Arabidopsis thaliana: one gene and its partners. The protein of the gene in region 2 purifies or fractionates together with the protein of the main gene of each other region. This does not show direct contact. Each region holds a gene or a part of one and is shown on either strand. Other genes may lie near its edges.

The links. The genes of interacting proteins can lie anywhere in the genome.
Region 1: the proteins of CSY1 (region 2) and AT3G12290 fractionate together in Arabidopsis thaliana (co-fractionation; one large-scale study listed by BioGRID). This does not show direct contact.
Region 3: the proteins of CSY1 (region 2) and CSY5 fractionate together in Arabidopsis thaliana (co-fractionation; one large-scale study listed by BioGRID). This does not show direct contact.

What each region holds. Positions count from the first base shown.
Region 1 is NC_003074.8:3,917,499-3,923,398, reverse strand, and holds AT3G12290 (Amino acid dehydrogenase family protein), read right to left. Parts: upstream 3,937-5,900; 5' UTR 3,809-3,936; coding exon 3,695-3,808; intron 3,247-3,694; coding exon 3,063-3,246; intron 2,890-3,062; coding exon 2,732-2,889; intron 2,625-2,731; coding exon 2,412-2,624; intron 2,304-2,411; coding exon 2,073-2,303; 3' UTR 1,880-2,072; downstream 1-1,879. Other genes in the region: BUG22 (cilia/flagella-associated protein), read left to right, coding at 307-359, 460-491, 718-959, 1,281-1,517, 1,604-1,612; RBR1 (retinoblastoma-related 1), read left to right, coding at 4,966-5,049, 5,165-5,269, 5,356-5,498, 5,578-5,674, 5,761-5,807. UniProt on the Arabidopsis thaliana protein: Catalyzes the oxidation of 5,10-methylenetetrahydrofolate to 5,10-methenyltetrahydrofolate and then the hydrolysis of 5,10-methenyltetrahydrofolate to 10-formyltetrahydrofolate.
Region 2 is NC_003074.8:21,718,836-21,726,967, forward strand, and holds CSY1 (citrate synthase 1), read right to left. Parts: upstream 4,956-8,132; 5' UTR 4,892-4,955; coding exon 4,655-4,891; intron 4,533-4,654; coding exon 4,352-4,532; intron 4,190-4,351; coding exon 4,104-4,189; intron 4,030-4,103; coding exon 3,925-4,029; intron 3,851-3,924; coding exon 3,788-3,850; intron 3,714-3,787; coding exon 3,604-3,713; intron 3,518-3,603; coding exon 3,398-3,517; intron 3,314-3,397; coding exon 3,164-3,313; intron 3,089-3,163; coding exon 2,968-3,088; intron 2,868-2,967; coding exon 2,770-2,867; intron 2,657-2,769; coding exon 2,545-2,656; intron 2,291-2,544; coding exon 2,231-2,290; 3' UTR 1,938-2,230; downstream 1-1,937. Other genes in the region: AT3G58730 (vacuolar ATP synthase subunit D (VATD) / V-ATPase D subunit / vacuolar proton pump D subunit (VATPD)), read right to left, coding at 1-445; CSY2 (citrate synthase 2), read right to left, coding at 5,729-5,869, 5,944-6,067, 6,163-6,260, 6,371-6,491, 6,583-6,732, 6,811-6,930, 7,089-7,198, 7,288-7,350 and 3 more.
Region 3 is NC_003074.8:22,190,747-22,198,326, reverse strand, and holds CSY5 (citrate synthase 5), read right to left. Parts: upstream 5,598-7,580; 5' UTR 5,440-5,597; coding exon 5,389-5,439; intron 5,306-5,388; coding exon 5,252-5,305; intron 5,136-5,251; coding exon 5,094-5,135; intron 4,964-5,093; coding exon 4,898-4,963; intron 4,808-4,897; coding exon 4,742-4,807; intron 4,653-4,741; coding exon 4,539-4,652; intron 4,447-4,538; coding exon 4,383-4,446; intron 4,247-4,382; coding exon 4,164-4,246; intron 4,068-4,163; coding exon 4,015-4,067; intron 3,932-4,014; coding exon 3,854-3,931; intron 3,740-3,853; coding exon 3,611-3,739; intron 3,446-3,610; coding exon 3,403-3,445; intron 3,305-3,402; coding exon 3,218-3,304; intron 3,086-3,217; coding exon 2,984-3,085; intron 2,803-2,983; coding exon 2,695-2,802; intron 2,620-2,694; coding exon 2,569-2,619; intron 2,485-2,568; coding exon 2,411-2,484; intron 2,328-2,410; coding exon 2,276-2,327; intron 2,174-2,275; coding exon 2,081-2,173; 3' UTR 1,880-2,080; and 1 more. Other genes in the region: AT3G60110 (DNA-binding bromodomain-containing protein), read right to left, coding at 1-334; AT3G60090 (VQ motif-containing protein), read right to left, coding at 6,996-7,469.

The DNA.
Region 1 (5,900 bases), about 18 Mb from region 2:
CTTGGCTGATATCTAGGCACACGTGACACTCTCTTTGTGGAGAATAAGACACGTGGCATGTGATTAGCGGGTGGAATACCACGTTGGGTTTATCCAGCTGAACCGCAATATTATATTGGAAAAAATGGCATCTATTATCTATCTTCATTCAACTCAAAGGCTCATGGCTTTATTAGTGGGCCGAGGCCCAAGCCTTTATAACGAGGAATTTGGTAGCCCTATAGATTTATTATCATACGACGACAAGTCTACGAGCTTCTTCTTCTCGGAATCGGAGAAGCAGGAAAATTCCGGAGGAGCAGGAAGATGTTCAAGAACACGTTTCAATCTGGGTTTCTGTCTATTTTGTACAGTCTAGGGTATATTATTTTGTTACTTTTTTCTTTTCAATATCTAATTAATTGGAATCGTTTGATGTGTTCTACTGTTCTTAAATCATGGAGGTTTTTTGTTTTGCAGAAGTAAGCCTCTTCAGATATGGGATAAAGAAGGTGAGCTTTATGATCAAAATAATCTATAATATATTTGCTAGATATAAGTAATTGAATCTAAGTTAGTGTGATTTTTTGTCAAAATCCTCTGTAAGCTGTATGAATTTAAAACCGTGAGCTTTGTCTAACAAATAATTGTTGACTTGTTCTATCTGAGCTACAATTTCTCTAGAATTTGATCAAATTAGTGTTTACCTAAGCCTGTTTATTGTTTTTTGATTAATAGTTGTGGATGGACATGTGAAGCGTTGCCATGATGATGACATTCAATCCAATGTGCTTGAAGTAGTTGGATCAAATATTCAGTCTACATACATTACATGTCCTGCTGATCTTTCCGCTACTCTTGGTATCAAACTTCCTTTTTTGGTCTTGGTGGTGAAGGATATGAAGAAATATTTCTCATTCGAGATTCAGATTCTGGATGACAAGAATGTTCGCCGGCGTTTCCGAGCTTCTAACTTTCAAGTATGTATGTCTTTCCCTTTGCTTATTCAGTCTTCACTAGTTTATCTACTGTAGTGTCGATGCTGCGTTTTAGGTTATTGGTTATTCTCTTCAAGCAATTTCTAATCAATGGCTTAGTCTGATGTCACACAATAGATTAGTAGGTAGCTTCTGGATAATGTTTAGTTTAGTATACTAACAACAGTTGGTATCAATCTCCTAATCTTTCGATAAGCTTGTAAATACAGTTGTTGTCAATACATTAGATCTGCTGCACTTTGTGTATTATGCTAAAATCCTAGGGACTAGTATTGATGTTTTGTATTGAACAATTTTTCCTAGGCTGTCACTAGAGTAAAGCCGTATATTTGCACAATGCCACTGAAGATGGACGAGGGATGGAATCAAATCCAGCTTAACTTAGCGGATCTTACTAGGAGAGCTTATGGGACTAATTATGCTGAGACATTGCGAGTTCAGATTCATGCTAACTGCCGCCTTAGGCGCATATATTTTGCTGATCGTCTCTACTCTGAAGAGGAGCTTCCTCCGGAATTCAAGCTGTATCTCCCAGTGCAGGTTTGGATTTCACTGTTTAGTTACTATCTTCTCCTTTTCTCGTTCACTTTGTTTACTTACAAAGCATGCTCTTTTTCTTATTGCAGAAAGCATGATAAGTTCATTCCGAATGCTGCTGCCGTTGTCGTGGTATACAGGAAATCTACTGTTTAAGTGTTGACTAATTCAGATAGAGCAAGAGCGTGATAGTTTTAGTGTCGCTTGTAGCATCCCATGGAACTTGGAGTTTGCCATACCTTGGGCATGCTTTAACTTTGTTGTGTTAAACTCTTCCTGTAATGGGATTATATAGTCTCTTAAGATTTTCAATGAATATTGTACATGATCTTGGGTCAATGCAGACAAGTAACATACATGCTTTTGAGTCACATGATGACACCCTTGTATTTAACTGAATTGCGGAAATAATCGTTCTAGCTAGTTGCAGAACAATGTAAGGTAATCCAAAGGGAACGCCAATTTCAATTTATTTGAGTGGAAAAATATCGTCAAGCCAAGTACACAATTACAGAATGGAGAAACTCTTGGTTTCTTTATTACATACAGTAGATTGTTTTACTCGCCAAAGACACGCTTGGCACCGTCTACGGTGTTCCTGAGAAGCATTGCCACTGTCATTGGGCCTACACCACCAGGGACCGGAGTTATGAAACCTGCAACTTTTGAAGCTTCTGCGAAATCAACATCTCCAACCAACCGGTATCCTGATTTCTTGCTCGGGTCGCTGACTGCATTAGTTCCAACATCAATTACTGCAGCCCCTGGCTTTATCCAGTTGCCCTTAATCTGAAATGTCAAAACGATAGTATATTTGAATTGTAAACTATTCACATTGATCTACAAGAGGTAGACTAAATTATCTTCTAAATGACAATGAAAATGTATGAAAATCACCATGTGGGCTTGTCCGCATGCAGCAATAACAATGTCAGCTTCCCGTATGATAGCCTCAGGATCCTTGGTGTGAGAATGTACAGTTGTGACAGTAGCATCAGCCTTGAGCAAAAGAAGTGAAACGGGCAAACCAACAATGTTACTCCGACCTACAACAACTGCTCGTTGCCCCTTTATCTTTACGCCGCTTCTAGCTAGGAGTTCCAAACATCCCTGCACACACAGAAAATCACCTCATAGTTGATACAGAAGAAAAACAGAACACTGAGATTTCTCGCTTGAAAGAGACTGAAGTCTATATGCAAAAAAAGGAGAAGTACCTTTGGGGTGCAAGGAAGGAAGAGGGGTTCTCTGCCTTTCATGGCTAGCTTACCAATATTCAAAGGATGGAAGCCATCGACATCTTTATCAATGCTGATTGCACCCAATATATGCTCCTCATTAATATGTTTCGGCAATGGGAGTTGAACTAATATGCCTGCAAATCAAACACCAAAGCTTATATAAGCACAGGAGAGCAAGGAATGTTTGCTTTATACCAAAACGAAAGACTTGCATAGACATTAAAGTTTCTATCTATCCTTAATAGTTTAGACTAATGATAACCGAGAAGACATACAAAATCAAGTATTATTTACCGCCACAACTAACCATGGACATCCGGATTTGAATTTAGTTCATGAACTTTGCTAATAAGATCAGCTTCAGAAACTTCCTCTGGTAGGCCCACGTCAAATGACTTAATCCCAACCTCAGCGCACGCTTTCCTCTTCGTATTCACATAGGTCTGTGAATCCTTTCGGCTCCCAACAATAACTACAGCTAGTCCTGGGACCTGCATGAAGGTAAAATCAGATTCGATTGAATCTCGTACATTCTTGAAACTATATAAAGGGGTCCAACTGAAGCAACTGAACAAACGCACTAAACCATTTATTACACATACTCTCGTTCCTTCTATTTTATTACAATGATATCAAACATTATAAGCTTAGCACACACTATCTGTATAAATAAGATAGTATGCCACTTGAAGTAATGCAGGCAGCTCAAAAATCCAGCGAAACAAAATAACAGTGATCTAACTAAAATGGAGCTTACATTTGACCCTGTTAAGCATTTTCAATAGAAGGTTGTGATCATAGCTGCTTAAATCTAGTCATTTTAAACCATAAAGCTAAAAGAGAGTAAATTTTCAATAGTGCTATCATCTTATAAAAGAACGGAGAATTATAAGGAGAGACATGTCAAGATTAGGACACTGATTCATAAGATGCGTTTACCTTGCCGTGTTTCTCAGATAGACCGCGAACTTCCTCGGCGATCTCTGATCTGATGGTATGAGCAATCGCCTTGCCGTCGATTATCTTCGCCGTGTGATCAGATGATGACGCCATGAGCCACTAGGAATTTGCCTCGTGTCGGAAATATCTAATTCTCTCTCTGGATCCACTCACACTCGAAGATGACGAAGAAGACTTAATCTGAATCCATCCGCGGATAGGACACTCATACTTCTGCAACCAAACGTTCTACAATGGCAAATATGTAATTTCCCGCGTGACCTAAACTAGAAACGGCATCGTATTAAGGGTGGGCCCAATCATAACTCACACGAGGCTTTGTCGCGGTCACGAAAACCCAGACGGCGTTAATGGCCCACTCCGTTTGTTTCGACCCCGCCGTGACGGCGAATCTTTCCCTCTCAGCGTTTCACGCAACAGTAAGTAAGTTTTGGCGGTAAAATTGGGTCACAGATGGGTACGTGTCGATTTAATAGTGGTTGAAAGCGCGCGAATATAATTGTATACGTATGTGTATGTATTCTCCGTGTTGTTTTTCCCGCGCGAGATATATCCTTTTTTAGGGTTTGCCGCATAATCAGACCCCATTCTAGAGAGAGAAGAGGGAAGTCAGGTGAAGATAGAGAGAGACACTGAGAGGAGGGAAAATTTGTAGGGTTTTCGGAGATCTCTGTGATTCCTCTGAATTTGTCGAATTTTTTGGAGGAGGCGTTAGAAGTCGGGCTTCTTAAAAATCAGATCTTCTGCTCAGGCTTTAATCGGCGACGTCTGGTATTGGGATCTGTGACACAAAAAGGTAAGATCTTTCTCTATTGCCTATCCTTTGATTTGAAATCTTATCCTCTAGGTGGTTTATCTGAAATTTTCTATTGATATTTCGCTATTCGATTGTAAGTTGGTGAGAGAATTCTCCAAAAACAAAAAAGAGAAAAACTTTGAATGAATATTTAAGATAACATCTGGGTAAAATTTTTCCGGAGTGGTGGGTTTTAGATTATGCCCCAATTTCTCTTCTTTTTTTCCCCCAAATTTTGTCTTTCTGCCATGTTTTGGGAAATTGGGAGTTTGTTTTCTCATGTCTGTTAGTGTGTTCTTCCGAATGGGTTGGGCATGGTTCCTATTGAATTTCAGTGTGATTAAATTAACAAATCTCTTTGCTTGAAAAGTCCCTTTTTCTTCGTCTTCAGTTAGCAGTTTAATTGGAAGTAAAATTAGCTTGATTTTGCATGTTTTCAGCTGCGTTGGAGACTATGGAAGAAGTTCAGCCTCCAGTGACCCCGCCCATTGAACCAAATGGGAAAAGAAGCGAAGCCTCTCTCTTGGACATATGCGAGGTTTACTCTTCTCTTTGCTGATCTAGTTGCATTTGTTTAGTTGAAGATACCATTTGAGTTCTCTCGGAAATTTTGAGGACTAGCTCTAATCCCTGTAGTTGATTTCTTATTGCAGAAAGTTCTGTCTCTTGATGGGAGCACTTGCGATGAAGCTTTGAAGTTGTTTACAGAAACCAAACGAATTTTGTCAGCAAGCATGTCTAACATTGGAAGTGGAACGGTGAAATACATTTTTCCTCTAACTTCTCTTTTATCAGTTAACTGTGGTTTCATTATGACTAAATCCTTTTTTCTTCTTCTTATTAGCGGGAAGAAGTAGAGAGGTTCTGGTTTGCGTTTATTCTCTATTCAGTGAAGAGGCTTAGTGTGAGAAAAGAAGCGGATGGTCTGTCAGTGTCTGGTGATAATGAGTTTAATCTATGTCAGATACTGAGGGCTCTGAAGCTAAAGTAAGTAGTGTTCAATTCTTCCTTCCTTGTCATTCTTAAATTCATTTGTAGTGACGATTTTCCTCTTTTCTGTTTATAGTATTGTGGATTTTTTTAAAGAGTTACCTCAGTTTGTGGTCAAGGCTGGATCTGTACTGGGTGAACTTTACGGCGCAGACTGGGAGAACAGACTTCAGGTTTTGACTAACATCTTTTAAATATACTTCTACTTCTATTATATCATTGTTAAATATGCTTCTATTAACTAATTTTTACTTACTAGGCAAAGGAGGTGCAGGCTAACTTTGTGCATCTTAGCCTTCTAAGCAAGTGAGTTTAGCTCCCTTCCTATTTTACATTTATCTTTGTTTTGTGTAAGAATAGTTATTGACATAGATTTCATATTTTGGACCTGCAACTTAG
Region 2 (8,132 bases):
CAACTAGAACTTCAATGGCTTTCACATAAGCAACACGGCAAGCTCGGACCTGTTGACCACCTCTAGCTAAACCGGTCAAGTCATTCTTGGTCTCACCTTCAGAGAAGTGATCAAACTTAGGCAGCTTCACTCCAGCGATATTCTCTGTCCGAGAACGAACCTTCAAAGTAGCTTCTTTAACGTTCTCGAGGACAACATGTTTGACATTGTCACCAGCAACATACTTTACTTCGGTAAGAGCAAAAGACGATGTCTTCATCATATCTCCCATAGACTCCTTAGCTGTAACGATTTTCTTGAGAAGTGCCCTAAACTGAACAGTTAAAGCATCACTCTTTTTCTTGAGGAGAGCATGACCTCTTGTAGCGCCAACAAGACGAGCTTTCATAACCCCGAGCATAGTAACAGTGGGAACCACATTCAAACGCGCGTTTTGGCCAGCCATATTTCAAAACTACAGCAAATGAAAGAGATGGGATTAAACAAGGACACAAACAGACTTACTCTATTGACAGAAGCCAACAACAGAAGATGATTTTTCGATGATGCGAAACAATACTTGCATCATTGAGGAAAGAGATCAACATGGAAATCTCGTAAATTCTGGTTTACTAATTATAATTGAACAAACACGCAAAGATTCTTAAGTTTCACTAGGAAAATCTTAGGCTAATGAACCAAGCACCCAATCATTATCTCGAACGATCCATACAGAGATTCATCAGATTATCCATTTTTTGTTCCCAGATTGAATCAAAGTCTACGAATTTTCTAATTGAATCAAAGTCTACGACTTTAGGATAGATCGTTTCCCAGAAGATGAAATCTAGATCACAGAACACACCTAATCAATTGGACTCAGAATTGAGCAGTCAGGTTATATGGATACACGCCTAAATTTCCCACCAGATTCAATTGTTTCAAACCAAACTAAGAGAAGAAAAGAGTGAGATTTGGGATTGACATACCTGGGCCTCTCAAAAGGTGAATTCTTAACAAGTAAATCACTGAAATTAGATTGGAAGAAGCCAAAGAGAGAAAGAGAGATAGGAAGACAATGAAAATTGATATTAATTCAGAACTGTCGACAGGGGTAAGAAGATCGTATTCGACCTCGTCGCTGTGATCGTGGAGAAGAAAGAAATGGGCTAATTGTGTAATTAACCGTAAATATAAAGGGCTTATTTTTTACAAATAAAATAAATACGTATACAGCTCATCACGTATGGTGGGGCCTACTTTCGTGTCCTAAATCTGAGACCCATCACTTTCGTCTTTAGACGCGGTGAACTATATATCTCACGTTCTTATTTAGTGCTTAGGACAAAAACAAAACTCGGCCAAATACATTTTTTCATTTCCAAGTTTCAGGGATGAAATCTTGTTGTATAGAGTTTCCAAATGGTTGAGGAGAAAATAATCTCTCATTCAACACTATATTGTATGACATTTTTTTAAAAGGATATGATTTGGTGGTTAACTAATTATTCCGAATCAATGTGTGATATATAAAAAATCTTAGAACTAAAGCAATGTGTTATATTAACTAAAGAAGAATAAGAAGATCTTCTTTTAGAACTTTCCTCACAAAAGGCACAATATCTATCAAAAGTTATGTCTTAATTTCCTATACCAACTTAATTATTAGATGGAATTGATTATAGAACCACTATACTTAAGATATGTTTTAAATCATAAATTTTAAAATAACAGACAAACAAATGAAAAACAAATTCAATAGTATGTAGATTATTGAGTGTTTTAACTATAAGGAGAAAGAAAACAACACACATTGTTGAGAAGACCCTTTTGGTTTTCGTCATTATTGCTGCATATATGTTCAATTACCAATCTCATCTTGATTTGTTGTCTACTATCTTCTTACTGTTTCGGTTATATTTAATTTAGATTTGAACTGTTTTTATCACTTTATGATTATTGTTCAACATCATATTCTTAAAAACATGCTATAATACACAAATATTTTTATTTTATTTTGACAACTTATACATACATAGACACACACACATGTATTACTAACTCGAGGTCGGATGGGGTTTACCCAAACTATATTTTATATAAGCATATATATTCTTTATATATATTTGTATATTCGCTTGGCTTTCCGAGTCAAATTTCATATTAGTAGTATAGGAACGAGACTTGACCCAGCTAACGCCTTCTTGATGCATTCGAAATGGAAACTTGACCCAACTGATCCAAATCCGAATCACAGCTTGGTTCTTTCTCTCACTGTCTCGTAATGCCTTATCCCCGCTCCAGTATAGACCTGTGCCAAAAAAAACTTTTGATCTATTCAAAAACTGCATATATCCATTAAAAATTGTATTACTCATGAGCCAAAAAAAGAAGAAGGTTCAAGTCATTAATATATCCAAGAGTGTATGTATCTATGCATAATGTATAATCTCATGAGCAAAAAAGAAAACTTAATTACTCATTGATCTATCAAAAAGTGTCTTTATTAGCCATGAGCCAATGTTATCTAAACAAAGTCACTTATATATTAAAGGTGTATTTTACCTGTTGGGGTCTCATGATCTTTGTGTCAGGATCATCTAAAGACTCACGCCAGTGTGACAAGTATCCAGCGATACGTGATACTGCGGTGAATGATGATGGGATTCCCATTGCCCTGTGTTTTGGCCCATTTCAGTTACCAACAAAAAAGATTCAAATAAAGAAAGAACTCAATGGTTACAACAACTCATTAGTCAGAATTTGTTAGATAACTAATCAATGTCTTACCTATTGATTAATCCAGAGTAGAAATCAACATTTGGGTACAGCTTTCTCTTAACAAAATATTCATCAGAAAGTGCCGCCTTCTCTAGAGCATCTCCTACCTGAAAACATTATTTATACACCAAATATTTTCTTAAACCAAATTCATCATACATATGAAGGATTCAACAAGGAAACGTGAGCAACAAGAATACAGAGTACCTCAACCAGAGGATCCCTTCCAAGAATGGAGAACACTTCATCCGCCAGTTTCTTAACGACTTTTCCTCTGGGATCGTAGTTTTTGTAAATGCGGTGTCCAAAACCCGACAACCTCCTCTTCCTGGAATAAAAAGAGTTAACATTAATGGAATATTGACCATCACATTCTAGGTATACTCTCTAAGAATTGAGTTACTTATTCTTCACGCTTTCAATGAACTCTGGAATATTTTCAACAGTCCCAATCTCTGATAACATGTTAATCGTAGCCTCAACTGCACCACCATGAAGGGGACCATAAATGGCTCCAACACCTCCCGAAACAGCAGTATACACATCACCACCACTACATAAACAGAGGATTTATGTGCTGATTAAAAAGTATCTCATAGCAGACTCAAATGAATCTCTAACCAATGATAAGTAGTACCTAGAGGAAAGGTGCCTAGCAGCAGCAGTAGAGCAGTTCATTTCATGTTCAGCTTGCAGTATGAAGAGGATGTCCAGCACTCGAGCCAAACGAGGATTAGGCTTGTAAGACCTATCTCCCCTGTAATCAATGGAAGATGAGACTAAACAAGTGCACAGTTTTATGGCTACCATCTCCAAATCAAACAAAGAGGGACAATAACGTACATTGATTCCACCATATAGAGGAAATTCTCTGAATAAGAAAGGTTGCTCAAAGGTTGAACAGGAGGCTTGCCTGCCTTCCTCAAATAAGCAGCTGCTGCAATTGTTGGGGCCTGCAGACACGTTATATTATAATTCATAGTCCGGTTATACATTGAGGCACCAAATCACACAGACAGAACAATACCTGTCCAAGAACACGAACAATCTGTTTATCACGAACTTGTTTTGACTTGTAAACACCTAGGCCCTGCACCAAATGGGGATTTCCATGTCGGCGTGGAAATTTTCAGAAGAAAGCAGGATTATAAAAACGTAACTTACCATAAGAGACGGATTTGCATCAGGATAAAAGATGGAAAGTGCACTCATTGCAGTGACAAGAGCTCCTACTGGATGTACATCATTAGGCATGGACTGTATCATATCCTGTGAAAACATTCAGATAAATCATCTCACCTCGAAGATCTAGAGAAAGTTAGGAAAGAGTAGAAGAAACTCACCAATACTCCTTGTGGCACAGCTGAATTCTGAGAAATCGCAAACTCCCAATCAGCTAGCTGTCTTTGAGAAGGCAGATTCCCATAAACTGCATGCAAAAACAAAAAAAGCAGTAGTAAACTAGAGCACTAAGGGAGACAAAATTTTAAAGAAATACCCACACAAAAGCAAGACTATGAGCTATACAAGATGATCAAGATGATCATAATTAAGCAACAACAATGAGCTATACAAGATGATCAAGACTTACTTAGGAGATAAGTAACCTCTGTATAAGTACTTTTCTCAGCCAACTCCTCAACTGGGTATCCCCGATAACGTAGGATTCCCTCATCTCCATCGATGTAAGAAATCGAAGATCGAACAGGAGCCGTGTTTAAGTAACCAGGATCGTATAAGTTAAGCCCCTTGTCATCCTTCCCTGTCGTTATCTTCACACCAAACATGAAAATCCATTTATACACACTCACACAATATACAAAAAACAATCTATTCGTAGTACTAATGGCCACAATGAAGAAATAACTTCAGCATAAAAACTCATTATATATACCTTCTTGAGATCAACGGTTTTAACGGTACCATGCTCTGAGACTGGGACCTGATATTCATTCCCCGTACGCTCATCGACGATCTTCAAATTTCCTTTAAGCGATCCATGCGGTGCAGCGGTTATGTGAGCCGATGTGCACCATGGTTCGATCGCTGGCAACACCTGATTCGGCTCAGATACTGTCAAGTGCGCATTGAGAACGGCTAATCGAGCTCTAGCTCTCTCCGAAATCTCCATTTGTCACCTCAAAAAGATCACAATTCAAGAAAGGGAAGCGAATAAGAAACCAAGTGGCTGTTGTAGTTCAAAGTGATATATAGGCATGCATGGTTTTATAGTGGGGAAATTTGATAATTTCATTACGTAACACTTTTGTCTTAATACTTTTGTGGGTATGATTGGCGTGAATCTACAGTGTCTTCTTTGTCTTCAATCAGAGTTTTGTGGCTTTTAACCAATTTTAAGTATGTGTCTCTGCGACAGTTATGTATTGTTTTGGTTGCTTCTTACTTCTTTCTGTTAATCAGTGTCAGGTACTCCAGGGTTTGTTATTTAACGTCACTTTTCTTTTATATTTGTTCACACTTCTCACAATTGTTCTCATTTGAAATGGAAATATTATTGGCAATAATGCAAAATGATAGGAAACTTTCAGGCAAATTATAAATACCGTACAAAAAAATATGATATGATGTTCAATGAGTGGTTAGCTTATTGTTATCACTTGGAATCTGCATAACATATTCACCCTAAAAATAACATTCAGTTAATCCTAAATGATATGATTTGGTGGTTGACATTTTCCAAACCAATGTGTTAGACATGTCTTCAGAAATTAACATTAACAGGAATAAAAGCGCAATTTATCAAAAGTACATGTCGTTCCCTATAACAAGATTATTATTATTAAATCATAACATTTTAAAATAACAGACAAACAATAAGAATAGGGTTGTATTATTAAGTGTTTAAGAATAAGAGAAAGAAAACAACACATGTTGTTGAGAAGACTCTCTTGTTTTCCCAGAGGTATCCCAATGTTTTCTTCTTTATTGGTGAGTATTAGGATTGAGACTAAAGGGCAGATGATCCAGCTAAACGCCTTCTTGATGCATTCGAAATGGAAACTTGACCAAACTTATCCTTATCCGAATCACTTGATAACGTTCGTTCTCTCACTGGCTCGTAATGCCTCATCCACACTCCAGTATAGGCCTATATGCAGCCACACAATTCAGTTAGCTCAAACTATAAACCTTTTGATCTATCAAACAAGTTATGTATTTTACCTGTTGGGGTCTCATGATCCTAGTGTCAGGATCATCTAACGACTCACGCCAGTGTGACAAGTATCCAGCCATACGCGGGACTGCGAACAGGACTGTGAAGAATTCTGGTGGGAATCCCATTGCCCTGTGTTTTTCCCCCATTTCAATTACCAACACAAGGTTCAGGTAAAGAACTTAATGGTTACAGGGTCTATGTCAGATGAATCAGCAATGTCTTACCTATAGATTAATCCAGAGTAGAAATCAACATTTGGGTACAGCTTTCTCTTAACAAAATATTCATCAGACAGTGCCGCCTTCTCTAGAGCAACTGCTACCTGAAAACATCATCCGTCAAAACAAAATTTAACCCACAGTCATGTTATATAAGAATTTTTTTGACAACCAAATACTAGGAGAGATACGTGAGCACAAGGATCTACAGTACCTCGATGAGAGGATCCCTACCAACAATGGAGAACACTTCATCTGCCAGTTTTTTTATAACTTTTGCTCGGGGGTCATAGTTTTTGTAAACACGATGTCCAAAACCTGACATCTTCCTCTTTCTGAGAACATAGAAAAGGGATATAACATTACCGGCATGACTCACCACAATTCAGAGTACTTGGTGCTTGTAGTTATTAAGCATTGAGTTACCTGTTCTTCACGCCTTCAATGAAATCTGGAATATTTTCAGCAGTCCCAATCTCTGCTAACATCTTAAGCACGGCCTCGTTCGCGCCACCATGAAGTGGACCATAAAGCGCCCCAACAGCTCCAGCACATGCGGTGTACACATCAACACCACTGCAGAAACACAATACTGATTTAAACACTCAAAGAAGTCTAAATGAATATCTCTAATCAGTGATAACTGATAAGTACCTAGAGGCAAGATGCCGAGCAGCAGCAGTAGAGCAGTTCATTTCATGTTCAGCATGCAGTATGAAGAGGATGTCCAGCACTCGAGCCAAACGAGGATTAGGCTTGTAAGACCTATTGCCCCTGTAATCAATTGAAGATTAAAGAATGTATCCTGTGTTACAGACACGTTTGAAGCTTGAAACAGATTTAAACTGACTAAAGAAACACAGTTTTTCTGACTACCCTTTTAAAATGCAAGTGTTAAATCAAATAAAGACAGAAGAAAGAGGGGAAAGTACATTGAATCCAGCATATAGAGGAAATTCTCTGAATAAGAAAGGTTGGCCGAAGGAAGAACAGGAGGCCTGCCTGCCGTCCTCAAATAAGCAGCTGCTGCAATTGTTGGTGCCTGCAAACACGTTGTAAACCCTTTTTCTAGTCCCGCAACTTATACACAGATACGTTAAGGAAACAAATCATCAACAGATAGAACAATACCTTTCCGAGAATGCGAACAATCTGTTTATCACGAACTTGTTTTGACTTGTAAATGTCTTGGCCCTGCACCCAATGAAAGAAAATCGAGTTGGCATAGCCATTTTCAGAAAAAGGCATCTTGACAGTACGAAAAGAACAGGATTTCAAAACTTACACTAAGAGCAGGATTTGCATCAGGGTGAAAGATAGAAAGTGCACTCATGGCACTCACAAGAACTCCCATTGGGTGTGCATCATGAGGCATGGACTGTATGATATCCTGCAAAAACATTCAGAAATCGTCTCAGATCAAAAATCCATAGAAAATTCTTTTACTAAGCATATACACATAACTATATTCACAACGGCGAGTAAGACATAAGGTACTAATACTAGAAAGAGATCCAGTATCCTTAATAGACATGGTTTACAAGCAAGACAAACAACTTGTACACTTGACAAGAAATCATTTTCAAAATCCCTCTTTGGTTTGGATTTGCATTCTGATACAAAGTTTGGAATTTGCACTAGTATGAAAATCCAAATAACGAAAGAGTAGAAATTTCACCAATACTCCTTGTGGCACAGCTGAATGCTGAGAAACAGTGAACTCCCAATCAGCTAGCTGACTTTGAGAAGGCAGATTTCCATACACTGGAGACAAAAAAAGGGGAATTTTAACACGACACTAAGAGAGACACAATTTTCAAGACATTTTCTTTTCCACAAGTAGACGCCACAAAAGTAAAATAAGCAACAACAACAACAAGAATAAGCAACGAGATTGATAAAGACTTACTGAGGAGATAAGCAACCTCAATAAAAGTACTGCTCTCAGCCAACTCTTCAATTGGGTATCCCCGATA
Region 3 (7,580 bases), 470 kb from region 2:
CGACGTCGACGGAATCTTGGAACCTACGTTTGAGATCTTGATACTTAAGCCTGCAATTGACGGCGGAAACGATGAGAGAACTCCGGGAACGAGCCTGAACCTCCTTAGCGACGGAGTCCCAATCGGAAAAAGCATGACGTTTAACGGCGCATGTTAACACCAACTCCTCCCACGTTCCCCATACTTGTTTGATCTGATTCAGATTACTGTTATCGTCTCCGTCTCCGATACGATTGTTATCAAATTCAGTGGAACTGTTGTTAATATTGTTAGTATCGTCGTCGTCGTTCATGCCGTTCGATATCACTGCTTCTTCTTCTTCGTCCTCCTTCATAACAATACGCTCGTTTGTTTTTAGGGATTTAATTTTTAATTTGCTTTTTTTTTTTCTTTTTTTTTTTCTTATCACCTTGTTTCGTATTATGAAGCCTTTAAATATATGAAATGAAACTATATGTTATAAGAAAGAAAAAAATATTTAGGGTCTCGTTAGCTATATATATATATCTCCACTTCATATGGAAATGATATAGACCTACGTATAAGATTTTCACCTTTGCTTTACCCATTTTGTGTTTATATATATAGTAACGGGTCGGGTAGGTTCGGGTCAAACCAACCTCGCTTTGTGTGCAACAACCGTCTACGGAGAGGAGGAAGGAAGGCAGATCTATTTACAGGAATGACCCTCATGGGTTACTAGAAATAGAATGTTCCTTTTATATCGATGTTGGTTAATGTGAGTAACTTGGGCATGGAATTTATCCACTTCAAAAAGACATGGGCTTTAATTCGTTGTAAATGGGCCTCTAATGGAGATTGGACCCAGATTTGTCACTTATTTAAATGATAAATAAATAATTACGAAAAGGTGTGACTAAAATATTTGCATTTATTAGTACACACGAATGTTTGTGTGATACAGAGTTACAAGACACGTCTTGATGGGTTTTGATGACACAATTTTAAACTTTTTAAGTTAAACCCATCATTAAATAAATCAATACTTTAATTCACACTCACACGCAAAGATAAAGAAAGGGGATTAATTTTGGTAAACTTTAGAAGAATAAGAAACTCGTGACCAACCCTTGCATGACGAGACGGGTCAAGCCAGAAAACGCGAAAGGATTGACTAATATTTGAACCAATAATCTTGTATAGTTGTCTGGCTTTAGTAAGGAGGTGCCTAATCTATGTCAAGACTCTCTGTCACTTGACTTGGGTAGTTGGGTTCGAGCCCAGGAAACCGTAAGCCTCAAGGAAGTCAAGTTCCTTTTTCCGACATGGTTTTGGTTTTCCGAGGATGCCGTACGGCTTAAGCAAGTCAAGTCCATCACATACTTGAGTTGGAATTGTATGTTTCTCTTGCACCACTGGACTGGCCATGACAAGGAAGACTAGGATATGTTCTAATAATATATTTCCTGTCCTAGCTAGAAACCTCTGCTCTCGGTTTCTAATAATTCTCGGTAACAGGATCCAGCGACTCCTCTGAAAGTTAGAGAAAACTTGTGAGGAAGAAGACTCAAAATCAATTTCGCATTTCTGGCTTTTTGTGATTACGAAGAGTCTTATACTTAGCCAAATATCTGAAGGTTTAGAAGAGAACACGTTGCATCTTACTGTTCACTGAAGATAGCAAATGTGTTTTGTAGAATCATCATAAAGCTTCGTAGGGAGCTTCTTAAGATAGGAGGAAGCTTCTGTTTGATCCCGAGGCTTTGAATTTCTTGACTCTGCTTCTGTTCACTTCAAACACTCTGTTTGAGCGGGACTGGTTGCATGAGTATTGTTTATTATGCGATAATTCACCAAAGACTAATCAATACATATCAATGGTCATCATTTGTCTATCAAAGTTGAGGAACAATAATATGGTGTCTCAATCTGAGAAAGACTGTTTCTTTACTTGTTTGACTTTATTGTTTTTGCAGAAGAACCAAAATGAAAACTCTGTAGAACAAAATTTCGACGAAAAATCGTTTTTTTTTTATCTCTAAAAGCTACCCAATCAAATGGAAGAGAAGGCTGAAGTGATAAAAGAGAGAACCTTGACCAACATCAGTCAGGGATTAACTTAGCGGTTCAAGCGCGTGAAGTTATCGAGCCAGTCCATGTTTACACTCTTTGGTCTCTCAAGTGGCAGTCCAAGTGCCCTGTCCCATATCAGCTGAAACAGAAAAGGAATAAAAGATTAGTCTGACTTTATTGTGAAGGATATGGCGATACGTACTAAAATCGAATTGTCGATGGCATGAATGTATGTATGTACCTGCGAGCAGATTCCAAGACTTCTTGAGACGCCAAAAAGCACCGTGTAGTATCTATATTTGAAAGGAATGTCACTCTATAATAACCAAGATTCAGCAAAACAAGGTCAAAGCCTCGATACACAAGTAGTTCCTACCTTGCTTCGGTTAGACCATAGTAGTTCAGAAGCACTCCGCTATGAGCATCAACGTTAGGCCACGGGTTCTTGACCTGATACAGCAATTTCAAGATTCATAAAACCAGAGAAAATCAGAAAATCTGGTAGCACATGAAATGAATGAGTATAAGTAGTACCTTTCCCAGCTCGGTTAGAATAGGAGGCACCACTTCATAAAGTTTTGAGACCTATAGACTTGCATAATTTGTGAGCCAGTAAAATTTTAAAGCATGACCAAAGATTTGAGGGGGAAAAAAAGTTACCAGCTGAAAAAGAGGATCATCAGGTAGATGCTTCAAGGCAAACTCTCTTTGGCATATATATCTTGGATCCGTTTTACGCAAAACACCATGGCCATATCCTGGAACAACCTGCAAGACAAATGTTTATTTAAGTTTCCTGACAACATTCACAGGCAAACCCCATAATCAAAACATAATCCGAAGCTTTTATTCATTATTTATACAATAATTCAAGTTATGGCCTGTCATGATTAGCATGCAATACATATGGATAGTTTCAAAAGGCAAAGCAGAGCATAATTTTGTCAACCTTGCCACTGTTTAACGTTTTCCAGACATAATCTTTTAGCTGTTCCTTTGATATACTTTCTCCACATTCCTCAACAACTAATTTGATCCACAGCAAAACTTCCTACAACAAGACAACGAAAAAAAACAGAGTAAGATTCCAAGTTTAAGCTTATAATTAAGAGTCAATCTTAGAGTTCAAGTTATATACACTTGTAGATTCGAACAATATAAGACTCATTAAGGATATAAATACCTGATTAGCCAAACCATGGAGTGGCCCAGCTAAACCATTCAATGCAGCAGCAAATGAAAGATATGGATCTGAAAGTGCACTCCCAACCTAAGTGAAGAAACATCATTAGCCAAAAACAGAACCATCAGAAATGTCTATAAGTTCAAAACATTATCATGCATCAAGATCATGTGGCAAATACATACCAGGTGACCAGCGTGAGCACTAACATTTCCACCTTCATGATCACTAAAACAGAAACCAGTAGACAAGGGAAAAAAAAACCTTGATCATGCTATAGAAATTTGGTAAGAGTTGGTAAAATAAAGGAAGATCATCATTATATACAAGAAAACTTTAGCTTATGTATTCTAATTAATGAGACATGTTGAAACGAAGAGAACCAGGACTAACCTGTGGATAGTGACATAAAGCCTCATGAGCTCTTTCATCTGAGGACTATCAAATCCCAGCATGTGTGAAAAATTTGCACCATAATCCAAAGAATCATCTAATGGAATGATGCTACCATCCTTGTACATCCTGCAATGTGAATTAGAATGGACATTGAAAAATAACACTCTGAAGAAAGGAAAATCTAAGAAAATTAACTAGTCCAGGAAGCTAAAAGCATTGGAAAAGATCCTAAAATTTAACCTCCGATAAACGTATGAAGCTACAACAGGAACACGAGCAATCAAGTTTAGGGCATCTTCGAAGGTTGGTTCCCAGTACCTGACAAGAAACCTCAGTTTCTATGATGCCTACTACTATAAGCCAATCAAGAAACAAAGTATAGAACTATTGAAAGTTTATACTTTGACTTAGAAATATCACCCTGCTCATACGCCTTTTGAAACTCACTTTGAACCTGAATAACAATCAACAAGATAAGATGCTCCTGAAAATAAACAAATTCTAAGAGAATGCATAGAAAAAAAAAATAGTACATAACAGAGCAATCCACCTGAAGGGCCATAACACCACTAGCAAATTGAGTCATTGGATGAGCTGTTGAAGGCAAAGCATCTATAGCTTTGTATATATAATCTGCAATGGAGAGTTGTTATATTTGCAACATCATAATATCCAGTTTATAATTATCATCAGCTTGTATTTTGCTAAGTTTTGATGAGTCATGAAACTGAGGTCATAAACAAACAGAGCCTAGAGGTGAACTACAAACCTGGCACAGCCGCACGATGAGCCAACTCTGTTGACAAAGCATTAGCTTGCTCTTTAGTTGGCACCTATACCGAAAGGAGGGAAAACTATACTTTAGATCATTCATATATAAAGTTGAAACTTATTGTATGTATAAAATGTTTTAAGATTATCACACCTTTCCAGTTAATAGAAGCCACAGAAGACTCTCAGGCAAGGGCTCTTCTCCAGACTCAGCTGAAGGTAATATTTTCTGACATTCAGGAATCGACATGCCTCTAAACCGTATTCCCTGATACAAAAGATAATATCATATGTTATATAATTCTAATTCAAGATCTGACCTGAAAATTATCTATGTGATCAAAATTATAACCATACCTCATCTGCATCAAGCAATGAGGTTTCCCAGAGTAATCCAGTCATCCCTCTCATTCCACCAAGTACCTTCACAAATACCACATGTAAAACTATATATACGAGTATGTTTAAAAGATAAAGCCTTTGTGTAATCACAAATATCATTAGAATCCGTACCATATCAACGGTGATGTTCCCCACTGGAACCTTTCCTTGTTCTGATTTCAGTTTCTTCAAACGGTCCTGAAAGTTGAAAGTTGTGTTTGTGTATGAGAAATGACATCAACTAAAACAGAGAGAAGAGCTTGATCTCTACATGAAATCTGCCCTAAAATTAGAAACAATCTCAATCACAACGAAGTAGAAACTAAACCTGTTGTTCTGGAATGATCTCTTGCATCTGCGACTTCAAGTCCTGCATTACCATCATTTTAAGCAACATCAACACAAAACCTAGAAGGTAAAATTCCAAATTTTTGGTTCTCAAACTGAACCGCATGATCACGAGAACATGAAAACCTAAGAAAGTACCAATTCAGAAGAGTGGAGCCATCTGACGGAGTTACTAAGTGAGGATTGTTGCACCTGTGCTTCTTATATTAGATCTGATCATCAAATTGTATCACATCAAACAAAACACAAAAAGGATGAAAGCTAAATCTACTCACTGCTCGAGACCGTAGTCTTGAAATGGCTGATACGCTGCGAAAAAACACCATTCTTTCAAACCTCACAACACTGATCGGTTACGAATCCAAACAATCAAGATTGGCTTAACCAGATAAGAGATAAAGGGAAAGAGAAAGCGTGGAGAAGAACTAACGGGAAATTCGAAAGTTTCTTCAACGTAGAGAGAAAAATTGAGAGATGTTGAGATATATCTGCAACGTGATGAACAAGCGTCAAATTACAACATATGTAAACCAAACACACGGATTCTTCTTACCAAACCGGTATAATGAACCAATTGATTACCATTTAGAAAACCAAACGAACAGGTTATGTTCGGGTTCGGTTGAGATTGGTTAGTTCCGTCGGTCCGTGAGACGCAAGATTCGAAGCAGCCGTAACGATTCTAATGCCTAAAAAAACGGTCATTAATAAATAAAGAACAAATGGTATGTAGCTTTTGCTGTTGCTAAATAAAAAAGTAGCTTCTTGGTAAAGTCCAAGGGTTTAGATAAAACATAATTTTATTTTGTTGGAAATAAATAAAGTAAAAATGACATTTCACAATTGAAAAAAAAAGTTATAAACTTCGTTATTATAATTTCTTGGTCGAATGGGCGGTTTGATATTCTTCATTCTCCATTAGTTATCAGAAATTTTTATATTCTTTTGAAATACTATTTAATGATGTAACACAACTATTAACAATGATGGATATAGCTATAGCTAGTTAATATTAAAACATTGGATATCATATTATATGACACTATTGATCGTTATGTCATCCAAAAAATAAACTGATATTTCAATGAATGAGATTGGAAAAATATGACATATATCCATTACAACTCATTATAATCATATTACCATATCATTTTAATGTTTATGAAATGTGAGTCCACCTTTCATAATCTAACGTTTTGAGAAGTTAAAATGTAATTTAGCCATAAAGTTTTGAAGGTATATATCAAGAACATCGCCAATAAAACAGAACTTTATTCATTTATATATTCAAATCGAAACTCTTTTAGAGTCATGTAAGAATCATTTATCATTATAGTATTTCGTTAATTCAGTTTAATGGAATTCATTTTTGTTTTATCAAACAATTTGTTGTAAGTAACATGACTTATATATGAATTAACAAACAAAATAATTTGACGAAAAAAAATGAACAATCTAAAAAATTCAATCACAATATCATTCTCGCTTTTCTATATATAAAACTTGCACACGCACGCGTGAGTACAACGTTACACCATTTTTAAGTAGAGTTTTCACATGATCGGAGATCAAAACACAAACTTACTTTTTCTTGGCAAAATCAGTCTACAAACTCATCACTACACTCTTTCTTGGTAAATTAAGTCAGTCTAACAAATTAAATCAAAGGGCACCCAAGCCCAAAAAATCCAAACATTTGTACATATATACAAGTTATGTATGTTCCTACCTATATAGATGATCATCGTCTCAACCTTGGTCTTGTCTTGACCCATGTCTTGTTATGCTCCATATCGAATAAATGATCAAATCATCATCAAAACCAACAGGACTTACGATTAGTAGAAACCCTACATATTAGGGTAAGGTGTGACCAAACTAATTATTGTTGTTGAAGATCAAACCATCGACTTGAGAATATGTTGTCGTCTTCATCAAGATCGATCAAACCGTCAAAATCAAAGTAAGTATTTGTGTTTGAACTTGATCCCCATTCTTCCTTCACCACGTGGCTCCCTATTATTCTGTTGTCCAGTTCAGCCGTATGTTCTTGGCCGGAATCTTGAGGCAAACCCGGTGGCGCAGGAAAATTTGTGTTGGTTATCTTTTTCTTAGAACCGGTTTTGGTGATCTCCGGTTTCCCGGTTAGACTTTGGACGAGTGTGCGGAAGTTCTTGACATCGGTGTTGATGATCTCGGGAGCAAATATATGGATGATACGGATCTTAGGCTTGATCTTGGTTATTATTTGGGAGTTCTTGTTCATGGGAACCAAAGTTTTTGAATAATCACCATAAAAGGTTTGATGAGGAAGATGATCTATATCGTACTCAGCCTTCATAGAATTTCTCACCATATAAACGTAAAAAGAAGATGAAGAAGCGAAGATTTTGGGTTTTTCTTTTTTGGATTTCAGGTTTCTTGTATTGTTTTGGGAAATGATATGCATATGTTGTGGATTATATGT